Linked DNA regions of Daphnia pulex. The protein of the gene in region 3 interacts with the protein of the main gene of each other region in a pairwise test. Links are inferred from orthologs where the notes say so. Each region holds a gene or a part of one and is shown on either strand. Other genes may lie near its edges.

The links.
Region 1: the proteins of vacuolar protein sorting-associated protein 52 homolog (region 3) and angio-associated migratory cell protein-like interact in a two-hybrid assay, tested with the Homo sapiens proteins (2 studies listed by BioGRID and IntAct). The link is inferred for Daphnia pulex from reciprocal best matches to the Homo sapiens genes VPS52 and AAMP.
Region 2: the proteins of vacuolar protein sorting-associated protein 52 homolog (region 3) and E3 ubiquitin-protein ligase NRDP1-like interact in binary tests that used the Homo sapiens proteins (3 or more experiments, as listed by UniProt). The link is inferred for Daphnia pulex from reciprocal best matches to the Homo sapiens genes VPS52 and RNF41.

What each region holds. Positions count from the first base shown.
Region 1 is NC_060020.1:4,205,680-4,210,973, forward strand, and holds angio-associated migratory cell protein-like, read left to right. Parts: upstream 1-2,187; 5' UTR 2,188-2,202; coding exon 2,203-2,205; intron 2,206-3,130; coding exon 3,131-3,168; intron 3,169-3,404; coding exon 3,405-3,649; intron 3,650-3,722; coding exon 3,723-3,982; intron 3,983-4,045; coding exon 4,046-4,190; intron 4,191-4,249; coding exon 4,250-4,449; intron 4,450-4,511; coding exon 4,512-4,846; intron 4,847-4,913; coding exon 4,914-4,986; 3' UTR 4,987-5,179; downstream 5,180-5,294. Other genes in the region: RAC serine/threonine-protein kinase-like, read right to left, coding at 1-130, 212-403, 475-672, 818-1,058, 1,184-1,275, 1,359-1,507, 1,586-1,652. UniProt on the Homo sapiens protein: Plays a role in angiogenesis and cell migration. In smooth muscle cell migration, may act through the RhoA pathway.
Region 2 is NC_060021.1:11,014,858-11,020,151, forward strand, and holds E3 ubiquitin-protein ligase NRDP1-like, read left to right. Parts: upstream 1-2,015; 5' UTR 2,016-2,067; coding exon 2,068-2,157; intron 2,158-2,247; coding exon 2,248-2,390; intron 2,391-2,460; coding exon 2,461-2,617; intron 2,618-2,683; coding exon 2,684-2,971; intron 2,972-3,030; coding exon 3,031-3,306; 3' UTR 3,307-3,737; downstream 3,738-5,294. UniProt on the Homo sapiens protein: Acts as E3 ubiquitin-protein ligase and regulates the degradation of target proteins. Polyubiquitinates MYD88. Negatively regulates MYD88-dependent production of pro-inflammatory cytokines.
Region 3 is NC_060027.1:4,798,995-4,804,288, forward strand, and holds vacuolar protein sorting-associated protein 52 homolog, read left to right. Parts: upstream 1-1,822; 5' UTR 1,823-1,838; coding exon 1,839-1,973; intron 1,974-2,025; coding exon 2,026-2,294; intron 2,295-2,362; coding exon 2,363-2,477; intron 2,478-2,562; coding exon 2,563-2,699; intron 2,700-2,763; coding exon 2,764-2,866; intron 2,867-2,956; coding exon 2,957-3,134; intron 3,135-3,204; coding exon 3,205-3,458; intron 3,459-3,529; coding exon 3,530-3,684; intron 3,685-3,747; coding exon 3,748-3,838; intron 3,839-3,896; coding exon 3,897-3,945; intron 3,946-4,011; coding exon 4,012-4,187; intron 4,188-4,261; coding exon 4,262-4,439; intron 4,440-4,527; coding exon 4,528-4,793; 3' UTR 4,794-4,841; downstream 4,842-5,294. Other genes in the region: DIS3-like exonuclease 2, read right to left, coding at 1-71, 134-391, 457-879, 958-1,011, 1,081-1,200. UniProt on the Homo sapiens protein: Acts as a component of the GARP complex that is involved in retrograde transport from early and late endosomes to the trans-Golgi network (TGN).

The DNA.
Region 1 (5,294 bases), on a different chromosome or scaffold from region 3:
CTTCGGGCGCTAGATATTCCGGTGTTCCACAAAACGTCTTGGTCGTCCGCCCGTAAGTGATGTCCTCTTTGCAAAGTCCAAAGTCGGCTATTTTGATGTGCCCATCTTTGTCGAGTAACAAATTTTCCAGCTGCGAGTCGAAACAATTAATAGATATGCACAGATATTAAAAGATTGGCGAGGAAGAATCAATTCCAAACAATGATTATACTTTAAGATCTCTGTAGATGATTCCCTGCTCGTGTAGATAACCGAGCGCCGAAACAATTTCCGCTCCATAAAATCGCGTCCTGTCTTCAGAGAAAATTCTCTCGCGCGAAAGATGGAAAAACAGTTCGCCTCCGTTGACGTATTCCATTACGAAACACAGTCTTTCAGCGGTTTGAAAGGAATATTTCAACGCCTTTTTTAGAGAATGTAAACAGATGTGAATGAAAGGACGAAAGATATAGATGAATGAAGTCTGTCGCTTACAATCAAGAAAGGATGGTTGGTGGTTTGCAGTACGCGGTTTTCCGTCAGCGTATGGGCAACTTCATCTTTCGCAATAATGACTTCCTTTTTCAGGATTTTTATGGCGAATAAGTGCCCAGTGCCTTTTTCTCGGCAAAGAATGACTTTTCCGAACGTGCCTTTGCCCAACATTTTGATAAATTCAAAATTTTCCAAAGTCTAACGTGAAAAACGAAAGACAACAAGAAATCCAATATAATACGTCGTTTTAGATTAAAAATAAAAACTGGATTATCGCTGTTTTAACGAATAACTCTATAACTTCGATGCTTTTTTAGTCAGTTCAATGAATTCATTTACGTACCACTTTCTTTTTTCCTGAATGATGGGGTCGATTAGAGGTTCCAGTTATGAGAAATTTCATTTGAAATTCATCATTCCCTGAATCCATCGGCGAAGAAACCATTTTATTGGACAGGGACGAGGGTGACGAAGAGTTTTTCAGATCGTTTTCTTCGGATACAGCTGGCATATCTACGTCGGTACTATCTGTATCTGTATGAAGTCGCGCAGCCACATGCTCTATAGCGACCATCCATTCTTCCCTATAACACCAACATCATTTTTTGGAAAATTAGTTAAATCCACTTGCAACAAACAATAATATTATTTTTTTCAGATTATAAATTGTTATGTAATCTGAAATAACAAGTTTTGTTCATTCACACACCTTTCTTTTTCTGACTCAACATGAAAAGTTCTTTCAATTACAGTTGTCCACTGAAGACCACGAATATGGAAAGTAAATGGTTTTGGGCGGTCCTATTAGTAGAAGGGGTATTGTGAATATTGTGTTAAAATTGTGAAAAAAAACCACAACAAAAGCATTTTGCTAAATTTCTTACAGCTTTCATAATTTGGCATCCTTTTACAGTGAAATTATTGAGTGGTTCGGCAAGCCCAATGCTTGGTTCAGGCTTGTGCTTGAATCCAAGTAATGATCCATCATCTAGCAGCACAAAATATCTTTGACGCCAGTTTTTTATGTGTTCACCTGAAAAACAAAGGAATGTTAAATAAGTATTCACAACAACAATAAGATTGTAGGTAGTGTTGTTATGTTATAACCCACCTCTTTTTAGTAGCCAGCCCTCCTTAATAATGGCAGGAGATTTTGCTGGCACTGCAGACTCAGCCATTATGAAAATACCTAGAATAAATTAAAATGTTCTAGATTTGAAATTGGAACAGCAATGAGATCACAACTGGACTACATAAAACAACAATATGGGAATTGAGGAGCGGAAGCGATTGAAGAGATAATCCGCCTTAAATTTCCTCACATTGTCAGCTCCAGATGTAAATAAATATTTTCTTACCATTAATTTATTTGATGAACCATCAAAATATTGTTTTTTTTTAACCGAACTAGAAAATTTCTAGTTGTTTTCAGAAGTGCGTGATTTTCCTCGTTGGCAAGCAGTAAGAATGCAATGGCTGCACAGCGCCATAATTTAAATAACGACAGTTTTACGAACTAGAAAACAAAAGAGTAGCAGCGTACGCCAGGGTTCGAAAAGCGCCAAACTCGAAATGACCACGTAGACGATATGAAAAAGTCACAACGTAGCATTGAACAAAGTACGTTATGTAATGTTAAATAAATAAAATTCCTCTCTTTTTCAATAAAAATGTGATTGACGTTGTGTGCGACGTTGGTAGAGGAATTGTTGTGCACTGATATATCGAATGGTATGTTCGTTAGCTCGTATGTATTGCTATTGATTATACGTTCATTGGTGTAGATATCAACTGGAAACTAGGATAGAATTTCATGTCTACCAGGAAATCCTGTTTCTTTGGAAAAAAAGGCGTTGCTTGAGAAGTGCATTTACATTGATTTTTTTTCTCTCATTCGTTCTTTCGACATTTTTTCTAGCGAAGAATGTAATGTAACGTTTCTTATGACTTATCTGACCCTATTAGTCTTTCATTCCGAAATCTAATCAGGTGTTAGAATCAACTCGTAATCTATCCACAATTCACATTTTCTAAATGCAGGAAGAAGTAAGGAAGTAGGGTTGACACAAATCGTGAAATGAATTCTTATGAAATCTGATAACGAAGGACGAAACTATTGATTTAAAATTTAAAATAAGCAGTTTTCTCTTCTGAAAAATATATTTTGACAGTTTACTGTTGCCTTACGTTGTTGATATTACCAATTTACGACAAAAATAATGTTCTCCAATCCTAGAAAAGTCAAATAATAACCATGAAATTCTCAGAAGACTTTTAAAACAAACAATTTAAAACGTTGAACAGTTTACCAACGATTTGTATGCTATACGCTGTCGCTGGTCGAGAATTCAAGACGGAAGTCTAACATTAAAAAAAATAGTTTCTCAGTTTTTTTTTAATTTTTTATGTCGTTCAACGTTCAAGCGTGATTTTTAAATCAGTAAGTCTGACTAAGTCGCGTCTTGAAGAGAAATCTATGTTCCTAGTTCAAGGTTACACCATTCACTAAGAACTAACAAACAAAGATTTTTTTATTTAAAATTTTGTTAAAATTTACTTTTTTTTAATGTCTCTCGATTCTAAATTGAAATATTTGATATGGCAACCTGCATCCTGCTGACATTCGTATTCTGTGCTTTCGTTCGTCTGCTTCTAGCACGTGCTTGGAATATTTCGTCAACATCGTCAATATCAGGTCAGCTAAAAACTTTTTTTGTTTAATGTGTATTTCCATCGTTCAGTCATGACATTAATATTTAGAAATATTTTTCAAGTCTTGCAAGATATTTTCATTTGATAGGAATACAAATACTTACTGTTGTGCTAAAAATTATGTAAAAAAATGTTAAGTTGCTGGGATGTGGGATAGCAATAAATTTTGTTTTTCTACACATATACTGTAATGCTGGAAATTTTTGTATTTTGAGCAGCATGGGTGAAACCAATACCCCTCCTGTTTCTCCACGTGATCAAGAGCCCAATGATTCTGATGAAGAAATTGTCGGAAACCAGAACGAAGATGAAGACTTTGAAGTGATTGAAGTCTATGAAGAAGATATTGAAAATGAAGAGGGAGCAGAAGGTGAGGATGGTGAAAATGAAGCAGAAGGTGAAGATGGAATGGAAGAACTAGACATACCCGATGATGCTTTATTAACATTCAAGCAACATACTGGTAAGTGCTTCTTGATGCTGATCGATACCATGCAAGTGATTACAATTTGCTCAAATATTTTAATCTTCCACAGGTTCAGTGTTTTGTTGTTCTTTCGAACCCAAGGAAAGTAAACTGGTTGTGTCGGGTGGAGAGGACGACAAAGCATATGTGTGGAATATCACAGATGGCCAGGTTCTTTTTGAATGTACAAATCATCAAGACTCTGTCACCTGCGCACTTTTTAGTCATGACGGTTGCTACGTCGCCACAGCTGATATGGCCGGCTTAATCCAAGTTTGGAAGGTGGCAACCAAATCTGTCGTTTGGACATTTGAAACGGGAGATTTAACTGTAAGACTTATTTGAAAAAAAAACAAGCGATATGAATGTTGATTATTATTAATTTTTTTCTAGTGGATAGATTGGCACCCAGCATCCCATATTTTATTTGCTGGTACTGACGCAGGAGACACTTGGATGTGGAAAATTCCGTCTGGAGATTGTAAAACTTTACCCGGTCATGGAGAGAGGAACGAATGTGGCAAAATTCTTCCAGATGGTATTACTGACGATAAAGAATCTATTGGCTTGATTTTGAATTGTAATTTATTAAAACAGGTAGGCGGATAGCTGTTGGCTACGTTGACGGTTCGGTGAAAGTGTTTGATTTGAAAACCTTGGCTGTTCTTCAGCACTCAAATGGAGGACAAACTCACACGAATGGTGTTTCCTCGATCGATTGTCATCGCGACAATAACTTGATTGTCTCCGGATCTTTTGATTCTACAGCCAAACTATACAACAGTCAAACTGGCAAAGTATTTATTAACACCATTTTCTCATAAATTAAAAATCCTTAATAAATATTTGCCTTTTGCAGCTTTTGTGCACCTTGTCCTGCGTGGGCGTTGGTGGTTCTGAAGATCAGAGCTCAGTCGAAGCAGTTTCGTTTTGTCCTGAAACATCCGTGAACCTCGTCGTCACAGGCACGCTGAGCGGGAAAATCAGTTGTTGGGACATACCAACTCAAATCGAAAGGCAGTCGTACGATCAGTCAGCAGGAGTCGTGAAGCTCGTGTGGCATCCCAAACACACGCATCTACTCTTCTCCGCTGGTCTGGACGGCGTGGTCCGTTTGATTGACTCTAGAAGTGGTACCCTGGTGCGCGAGTACAGAGGCCACACGGCCGACCTATTAGACATTTCCGTGTCCTTGTAAGTATTTCTAGATTTAAATGTTGTAACTGATTTCCCGAATTTTAAAATATTATTTCCTTTGCAGCGATGGTTACCATCTGGTTACGTCGTCGGACGACCAAACTTGTCGAGTATTTGAAGTGAACGTTGACCATTGAGAGTTGTGTGCCTTTGAACCATCGCCAACTGCTTCCTCATCCATCGTGACCGAAGATTCTCGGTTTGACAGTTATTCACCCGTGCTCTTTTGGTATCCAAGTTTGTTTGTTTGTTTTTTCAATCTCTCGGCTTGTTATGTAATTATCGAAAGAAAAGACTGAAGAGGAAGAAATCCATCTCAATTGAAAAATTCCTGCCGTCTCCAGTCCACCAAGTCTTTCTCTTTTGCTTGGAGGGTTTTTCTCAGCCAAGACAGGTAGTAGTAGTAGTATACCAGTGGCCAATAGGCCGAATCGACCAGTGTATT
Region 2 (5,294 bases), on a different chromosome or scaffold from region 3:
GAAGCAATACCACATTACCTACAGAAAAAAATAAATCTATAACATCAGTTTGTATCGCTGATATCGTCAACTCAGTTAAAGATCAAAAGGAAGGCAGAATGAATCATCATGGAACTCGGAAAATGCTTTTAAGCGTTCTCATCATTTCAATTTACGTTAAACATTACAAGTAATTCTCTCTACTCACTACGTAGATCATGAAATCACCAGCATCTCGAAACGAAAGAAAATGAAACTCCAGTTTTTGGCCCAGTAGCTCAACAATCGACGGCGGTTGTTAAACAAGACAATCTGAATAAACGAACCAAACAAATCGTCAATATTTGTTTACAGCCGATTAAATGATATTAAAAAGCCTGAATTATCAGGGACTCGAGTGGGTCTTCATGGTTGTCAGAAACACAGGAAACTGTTGTTCATCACAAAAATCCAAAAGAAACCATTAAAACTGTCCATTTACCTAAGAATCGCAAACACCTTCATGATTGTATCTCATCTAGTGTAATGCACACCCACTGCCTGCAAAAAAATAAAAATAAACACCATTAAAATGTTAAATCTTCCTGTAAAGTCAAAACAAATTGTCTCAAACCGAGGTGATCAACCTCTGCAATAAATACAGATCGAGCATAAGTGGTTAGACGTTTAATTTATGAGATCCTCTAGCACCGGAATACTACATGTGCGTTAAACCGGTGACTCTGAGGCTCAAATGCAAATGTAAAAATAACTATACCTCCTCCATTGGCTCCATAGCCGTAACAGTCGACATCCATCCTCCACGAAATGTCTTGGCATGGAATCTTCTCTGTAAAAACGATATAACGTTAAGGCGAGGACTAGACCAAAATGACGACAAGTCACTCGATACTTTCAGCACATTTAGTAATCAGGGTACATATTTAGGTGTCCTAAGAGTGTCATCAGCAAAATCCAACAGCATATTTTACATATATGATAAGAAAACCAACCTTTATTCCTCGATTACATTCAAATCAGCGAATTCTGGAAGATAGGTTACAACCAACCGGTGCAAAACCAAGTGAGGTCAGAAATCAATCTAGACATAATTGATCATGAAAATCTACAAACCATTTCAGTGTGATACTGCTTTGGTCTACACTTCAGAATATTGCGATAGAGATTTAATCAAAATATTAATTTAGGTACACTAAATTTCATTGTAATCCTAGGGTCATCAGGACTATTTACCCATATACAATAGGAATTCGTTTTTACCTTCCAAACTAGTCGTCTTCAAGGCACCAATGTAGCCTAAATGCATGATTTGTCTCACAGCCCTTCAAAAATTGTTTCCGATCCTTGCACTCATCTGCCATCATCCCTCCTGGCATTGAAGATATCAACCTAAAATGAACAGATTAAGAGATATAATCAAACCTGTTCCTACATGAGGCAAATTAACAACTTAAATTGACAAGTTAGTTACTAGACAAGAGGAAATTTCATTCGCCTCATGACCGTTACTGCAACATTGATTTCAGACTGAACATGGAATTTCACTTAAAACTACTTATTATCAAACTTGTCCATTTTAACCAAAGAAACCCCAGACCAACCTGAGGCTTCTTTCTCTATAATATACTTCTTAGAGAAAGTCGGTTTTATTAGACTTCAACCTTACCAAAGCAATACACATATAGATATTAAAAATGTTCAGGCTAATTACTGTGTTAAGAGCGTTAACCATATCCTACAACTACGTTTTCAAAACTTAAATGAGAAACTAAAAAATTAGAAAACCCAGAATAACCACGTGTTGATCAACTTACATGTTCAGCATTTGAAGGATTGGTTTGAAATGAAAAGAAGTGACGTTGGCACTTCCATATGTAAACTTCGTTCCCTAACCGTCAGACTGCGTTTTACGGTTTAATTTTTCTACCGCCCGATGGCTCTGCAACACCTTGTTGTTGCATTTATTTAGGTACGTCAATTCTGTTCCCCCTTTATTAAAAAAGAAAGAAACGCGAACTCTTACTGAGAAGCAGGTGTGTTTACTTAATTAGGTCAAAGTTTTCTTGGCCGTTTTGTTAACCAAGAAAAATGGGAATTGAAATAAATCGATTTCAAGGAGAAGTTGATGAAGAATTGTTGTGTCCAATTTGTAGTTCAGTGCTCGAAAATCCGTTACAGGTAATAATGACAGTTCGCTTCCAAAAGCGAGAGTAGCAATAAAATTTCCCCAGAGGGAATGTGATGGATTTAATAGACTTGTAATTTCAGGCACCCAACTGTGAGCATGCATTTTGCTCTGCTTGCATTCACGAGTGGCTCTCGAGACAGCCAACTTGTCCTGTCGACAGACAAAACATAACCCCTCCTCAGCTGAGACCTGTTCCCAGAATACTTCGGAACCTACTATACAGGTTGGTGGTTTGGAAGTTTGAAACCTTATTATCAGTATGAAATTGTACCATTTCTCTATTATTTTTCTAGACTACAGCTCACTTGTGATAACTCTGTTTATGGGTGCACTGCAATATTGAAACTAGATGCCCTGGAGTCTCATGTACAAGAATGTGAGTTCAATCCAAAGAGACCGGTGCCATGTGAGCTCGGCTGTGGGCTAGTTGTGCCAAAAGACGAGTTGAAAGTAAGTGGGTTGTTTTACAGGTTACAACTTTAAATAGTACCTTATTTATGTTGATTGCATTTCCAGGAACACAACTGCGTGCGAGAGCTGCGCTCGTTGATGCAGGCCCAGCAATCGAAACTAGTTGAGGTGCAGGCGGAAGTAGCCGAGGGCAAATTTCAGATGAGCGAACAGAAACGAGAACTGCAGCTGCTGAAGGACTACATGCTAGCCATGCGGAACGCCAATCCTTCGCTGCGGATTCTGGCAGATCAGATGGAAGCCGACGAAGTGAGACGCTGGGCCGAAACTCTACCCAAGGCGAGAGTCCTGCGCTGGGGTGGCATGATCTCGACTCCGGACACGGTGCTACAGGTAATATCCTACAGTTGGCGAGCTCAATACATTCAATCAAATACGATAACCTTTTAAAGTTGCAGGCAATGATCAAGAGAGCCCTTTCCGAATCGGGTTGCCCACCGCACATCATCCAGGATCTGATGGAAAACGCCCACGAACGGCGGTGGCCGACGGGATTGTCGTCGTTGGAAATCCGCCAGCTGAACCGGCGTCAATACGAGAACTATGTCTGCCGGAGGATTCCGGGCAAACAAGCCGTGGCCGTCATGGCCTGCGACAACGGACATATGAATCCAGATATGATATTGGAACCGGGTCTCATCATGATTTTTGCTCACGGTGTAGAGTGACACCCCGGAATTCTTGTCAGATTATTAATCCAACAACATGTTTGTCTTCAGTGTCCTCGCGACCGGCTGGACCACTCCAGCGAGCTGACACTAATGAATTTGTCCCTTTTGTCCTTTAGTTCAGAAGCAGCAGTCCTCTCAACTTACTTAAAAGAATCTGATTTATCTTTTTTCGAATTGTTTATCGTCATCAGTTACTTTCATTGAATCGTGCTCAGTTTGGGGGCTAGGTGTAGGTTTTTATTTGAAATGTTTCTCAATTGGTGTCCCCGCTCTTCGGCGGTTGTAAATGTTCGATACTTGATTAATGATGGCAAAAATCTTGTTTTCTTTCATCATCAACTTTTATGTGCAAATAATGATAGTATATTCCGCCGATGCTGCGGAATAATAAATAATAAAACAATAACTGAGAAGTCAATCGTATGGTATAGACAGTGTGTGTTTGTGTGTATTTTTTTTTTATCTTTTCGTCGATTATTTTTCTGTTATTATCTTTTTCAAACCGGGTTTACTTCTTCTCTCTTTTCAGTTATAATCACATCATCGTCACACATGTTATGTAACATTTTTGTTTTTTTCAAAGTGTGGAAATGGGTTGAGGGTTGGGGGTGGATTTTTTGGAGATGTAATCGCACTACATCACATAGCCATGCTCATCCGAGTATTTAATCACATCACTCAAAAACACTTCCTCTTTTTTAATGAAGTTGATTTTCTTTCTTTTTCGAAACTTTGTTTTCGTCTCCATTCGAATGGCGGAGGGGAAGGATCGGCGGGTAGTGAAACAACATGATACGGGAAGCTAAAGAGATGATTTCAAAACAAGTTATTCACAATTAAGGACAAAATCGATGAGCCAGAGAGAGATAGAGAGAGAGAGAGAGACGTAATAATAAAGTGGTTGGATCGAAATCAAACGTCAAAGAAAAACTACATTGTGTTTGTTGTGTCTGTGCGAACATGTATATACAATTCTTGTACTGAGCTTCTGGAATCTGAAACACACACACACGCATGGAAAATAAAAGACAAATGATTGGCTTTTGTTTCGACGTAATAGAATCGATAATATAATATATAAAATCTTCTGTATATCTATTTAGAGAGAGAGAGAGAGAAAATAAAAGATGGGGGGTGAATCAAACGGCAATTAAAGTTTGTAAGGGGGGTGAGCGAGTTTCAGAATGAAGGGAAAAAATGGGGGGTAACCGACGATCCCGAATCTGCTGACAATCGGATCTGATCTGTGAGGTCCGTTCGGTTTTGAACAAAAAAAAAAGAAAATCAAATAATCAAAAAAAGCCCACACTGCGCAACTGCAGCACACATTTGTTTGTTCTTCTCCTTGTCGCTTTAACCTCAATAATTCTTCGTCTCAAATTGGGCGGGGTCGGGAGAGGAAAGAAGCGCAGCAAGACGTCGTCGTCGCTCCATAATGACGGCCAGTGAGCTCAATCTCGCTCGCGCGAGCACGAACACGAGAGAGAGAGGGAGAGAAAGATAATGTGGGTAATCACGACACGACTTGTCCACAGACCCGCGCAACCAGCACACACGCTGGGAGGACAACAAAAACCAAAAGAAACGGGTTGAGGAGCAGGAGAAATGGTTGTTGTTGTTGTCGTCGGCTCTGTGGTGACAATTTTTGAACACAGTCTCAGGTAATTTATACATAGCATGATACAATCAGTCGATGGGACTCTTTTTTTTTTGTCTTTTTTTTCAATACATCCAACTCGCTAATTAGAGGTGGAAAATCAAAATACGTGTGGTGTGTGTGTACTCACTGCGTGAGTCTGTGCGGAGTGGAAACGAGGGAAGAAGGTCAAATAATCGAAATGGCGACATAATAAGACACGACCAGCGGATGGTGAGAGCAACAACAGTGGAGGTTATAAATGGAAAGACGAAGTCACACACACACACACAGAGAGAGATACTCAGGTCATCGAGTCAACGAATTGGAATGGAGCAAATTGGGAGAG
Region 3 (5,294 bases):
TGACCGTAAGGCCATTGTCTCAAACTGCCAATAGCACACCTTGAGTGCTTTAGCTCTTTGATGAATACAACCTGTCAATTAGAAGCAATAATTTAAAACATTTTAAAACACTTCATGAAAATGACGAAATTACCTTGGCAATTTTTCTTGGGGTATTGACAATATTTGGGTTCTGTTGACTATTTTCATCAATTGTTCCAGCCGTATTTATGTGTGATTTATTCTGTAAAACTACGCTTAAAGTTTCTACTTGAACGGTGGTAGTCTTCGTTAAAGAATCCTCAATTGTACATGATGCGCTTAATTGTGCGGTGAGATTTTCAACAATGACATTTTTCTTCTTTCTTGGCCTGCGAGTTCTTTTTCTCTGCTCTTCCGCAGGATTATCCAACTAAAGAAAGCAATGAGTTTCTAAGTTATTATCTTCAAGTACATAAAAAAAAATAAAGTATTTACGTTAGTTACATTTTCGGCCATTGTTGAAGGGGTTTTTAGACCGCTTTTGTCTTGCAATTCTGCACCAAGATTTAAATTTGAAACATTTTCCATCAATTTCTTCGGCTTTTTCCTATTTTTTGGTCCCAGGGTTTTCGCGCCCCTAACTTCACGTGAAGCGGCTAAATCTGCATCCACACACTGAACTTCCTTTTCAGTCACTTTTGAAATATTTTCTTTGAGTTCACTGGCTGCAGCCAAATTTTTTGGAGTAATAGGCTGTTCGTTTTGCTGAATGTTTGGTGAACTCGGACTCTCAGCAAAACTTTTTTCACATTCTTTGTTTGCAGTTTGTGTTGGCAGCATCTCACAAACAACAATATCTCCATTAAGTGCTCTGTTTCTGTGCAAAATTCCTTCAATCAGAAAATCTTCGGTTCCATCCTAATACCATTGAGATTTGTTCAGTTAGTTCTTTTGAATATCAAAACTTGTGAAAACAAATTTGCAAGCAATACTTACAGGTGCAGAAATGTATGCCTCTTTATAGTTTTTAGGATTGATTCTTAAAACACCCTATAAATACAACAAACACAGACAGTTAAAACATTACATCAATTAATTCTGAATATAACCAAAACCTACTTCAAAAAGGGACTCATTCCGTAATCCTTCTTCAACATCCTTTTGGTCCCAATAATTTTCAAAAGTTTTACTACGATTGGGTCTCTGTGGTGTGGAGTTTTTACCAATTGACTTTGCCATGATTAATTTCTTGTATGGGCAGATTATGTATAGAACTTATCATCAATGTAATTAAGAAAATGTAGGAATAAATGCAAATTGGCAGATCAGTATACAAATGTCAGTTATTGCTTTCCCTCTGTTGGAACCCTTATAAACTGGTTACTGACCAGTGCTAAAAATATTGAGTTAAAACCTTTGTCAGAGGTTTGAAAGTCATAATAAATCTCAACACTCGTCAGATTACAACCTGATTAACAGTTGACGAAAACTCTTCCACAAAATGTTTTACTTTCTTGGAAGCATGCAATGAGCAAAGATTCTCACTCTTGTCGTGCAAAAAATAGCCGTACTATCTAGACTTCAATCGTTGCTTCAAATTTGAGTAAAAAAAATAAAAGTTTCGAAATTCAGGGATATTCGGCTGACGCTAATATTTTCAAATGAGAAAGATAACTTTAATGGAAACCCTAATCTCTGGGAGATATTCACAATTTTTGCATCTTACTCTTGCACAATCTCTTTGACAACAAGCAGACGATATTGGTCGTCTGCAAACAGCTGAGAGATTTCGTCACGATTCCAGACAAGCCGCAATAACAAGTTTGTGTCAGATTTCGGTTAAAGCCGTTAAAGCTGATTAAAAACATTTAACAGCCATGGAAGATCATTGCGACTCTCAGATAAAAATGGATTTAAAAGTTAGTCTCAAGGACAGCATAATAAAAGAAGCTCTGAATTCGGGTGTAGATTTGAGACAGTATTCACAACAAGTAGAACAACAATTACAAGAGGTATACATTTTTGACATGTTATGAGTTCAGCTAACCAACTTCCTCTTTCCAGGTTGAACTAGTGTCTGTGCAAGATTATGTCAATCAGGGAACATCATTAGCACAGCTTCATTCACAGTTCACCCAATGTGATGTCGCTCTTGAAAGAATGGAAGTGCTTCTAAGTACCTTCAGATCTCAACTAGGTGGTTTAAGCAGTGATATTTTACAACTCCAGCACCAATCAGCTCAGTTGGGATTACGTTTGTCTAATCGACAGGCAGCTAGATCCTTGGCAGGACAAATAATTGATGATTTGGTAATTCCTGAAGCCCTGATAAGGTAAAATTACAAAGTACATCTATTTGTCTATGTGTTGTAATTTTTAAAAATTTAACATTCTTGAATAGACATCTACTTGAAACTCCAGTGACAGAGCCTTCGTTCTCTGAACAGTTGATAATACTTCAAGCAAAGTTGGCTTTGAGTGGTGATCACCATCAGAGGTGCAGTAGAGCTGCTCAAGTGAGTAGGCCTAACCATATAGTTTGAGTTTGTGATTTAAAAAAAATGTCTAATATTTTCTACCTAATATTTTATGCATTTTAAGGATGTGGTTCCTGTCCTAGGTGCATTAAGGATTAAGGTGGTTGAAAGACTTAGGCAGTTTCTGCTTTTGAAACTACAACAACTTAGAAGGCCACTTGCTAATTATCAACTACCACAGAATTCTCTTCTAAAACACAAGTAAGCCTCTGGGTTTTCTTTCTGGATTCCAAATACAATTCACATTTATGTTTTGTTTCACTAGGAATTTTTACCACTTTCTCATAACCCAAGAGCCTGAAATAGCTTATGAAGTGAGGCAAGACTATGTGCAGACAATGTCAAAGCTATATTTCTCTTATTTTAAGGTTCGTGTTTTGATTTAAGAAATAATAATAATTTGTTTGGATATAAATTATGATTTTTTCGTCTATATTCTCAATTGTTTCTTGTTCTAGAGCTACTCCACGCGATTACTGAAACTTGTGGATTCAAATAGTGTTAATAAAGATGATGTTCTTGCTTCCGAAGATGCATCGTTAGGTGCGGCTGCTGCTGCCGCCGCAAGGTCCTTGTTTGGAAGAGCCGCTCCTAGTGGGCGTAGTTCTAGCAGTAAATCTACGGTTTTTACCTTAGGTAACCCCAAAAATTCTTTCTTGCAATATATTTGCTTATTTTTTGCTGTCTTCTTTTTTTAAAATAATAGGAACTCGAATTGAAGTTGTTACAAACTTAGAAGCCCCTGTTCTAGTTCCTCACGCAGCTGCCACTGGTACCAGCGCTGGCCATAAAGGTGAAACGAAATATTCGTATGAAATCGTTTTCCGATCTCAACACTACGCATTGGCCGATAATGCTTGCCGCGAGTATTTGTTCCTCTGTGAATTTTTCCACGTTGAAAGAGCCCCTGCCATGGAGCTATTTCAAGAAGTAATGGGGAAGACCTGCACTATTTATATGGTAAGTTTACTATACACAATGCGCAGCATATTATTCCTTTCTAGCGTCATTTGTTTTTTTTTTCTTTTTAGAAATTTGTGGAAGAATATGTTTCGTCTTGTTATGACTCACTTGCCCTTTTTCTTTGCATCCAAATGGTCCAACGTTTGCAATATCTTTGCCACAAGAGAGCCGTTCCAGCTTTAGATTTTTATTACGAATCTCTCGTCTCCACGTTATGGCCTAGGTAATACTGTTAAATTTAAATGATTTGTTGACTTTTTTCTTTAATATTTGCCATATTTCTTAGATTTGAATATTTGGTACAAGCAAACATTCAGAGTGTCCGTGACTGCGATCCATCTAGACTTTATTCAAACATTGATACGCGACCACACTATGTATTTACCTTAAACATACTTTGATTAAATTTCTAAACTAACGAAAAAACATTAATAGGTAGTGCGACGATACGCCGAGTATACTTCAGCCATTTCTGCGATTCACGGTTAAACACTTTTTTTCCTATTGCATTAATTCTTGTGTCGTAATTTTCTTTATTTTGTATAAAAAGAGCATAACAGTATAACTTCAGCCATGGACTGGACTCCACGCCTACACCATTTACTTTCGACCATGCAAGAGGAGGTTGAAGGCTTCACGTTGCGCCTTGCTGCAGCCTTTACTAAACGAAAGGATCAATTAGTAGCCCTAATCAACAACTACGACCTGATGCTGAGTGTGATGACCGTAATATAACTAGATTTTAGTATTTTACCGAGTTTCTCAGCTTATGTATTAAAACTTGTTGTCTATTTATTAAGGAGCGCAACCGAGAAGAAAGTCGTGAAGCCGCTCGGTGTAAGGAATTGCTGTCTGCTAGAATTTCAGAATTTGTCGAAGAAATTCTTTTTTTCCATTTTGAGGGACTCGTCCGATTCGTCAAAGACTGCGAAGTCATGCTTACTCGAGGGCTTAACGAAGCGTTGCGGAACGAAGAACGTATGCATTTTTTAAAGTCTTTAATTTTATTATTAGTTTTGTCTCTCGATATATAGAATTGTTCCGTTTCTCTTTAATCGGCTTAAAGGTCGGGCCACGCAAACCATAAACGCTTTCATGGCTGGATGGAAGAAATCTTTGGACGAGATTAATAAAGAAATCTTAAATCTGTTTCCGAATTTCAAAAACGGAACCAACATTCTACAAGCGACGTTGACTCAACTCGTCGAATACTACCACCGTTTCCAAAAAATCCTAACCCAACATCCATTCCGCAACGTTCCTGCTCGTGCTGATTTGATTAACATTCATCAATTAATGGTAGAAGTCAGAAGGTACAAGCCAGCTTTCTAAATTTTAAAGATTTGAAGCCTGATTTGTTGAATACATGTATTAATATTAGTTAAAATGGGAATGACTCGTGAATATTGATCGCTGACTAGGTTAAAGGGAATTCATAATATTTAAAAAAAAACGTTCGTTATTTTAATGTTATCGATTTTAGAATTAAAGCTTGAATGGTTCTGAGTAATGTAGAACTTTCTTAAAGTTAATGAGACAGAAAGTGTGCTCTTGAAATGCCAGTAGAGTGCACGTTAGTAAACGTCACCAAAAACCGAACAGCAATCCTTATCAGGCGTACGTATAGATAAAATTCGTGCTTTGTATGCCGTGGGAGAAACGGGACGTGCAGTTTGGTCCTATACTCCTGGTACCGGTAGAGTTTAAGTTAAATTCTTTAAAGTCACTAGTTTTAGTACATAAATTCTCATTATCAGCCGAGGAACCGCAAATAACTAAAAGATGGGGTGTTGATTCAGTGCTTTAGTTATGCTATATAGAATACAAACTTAT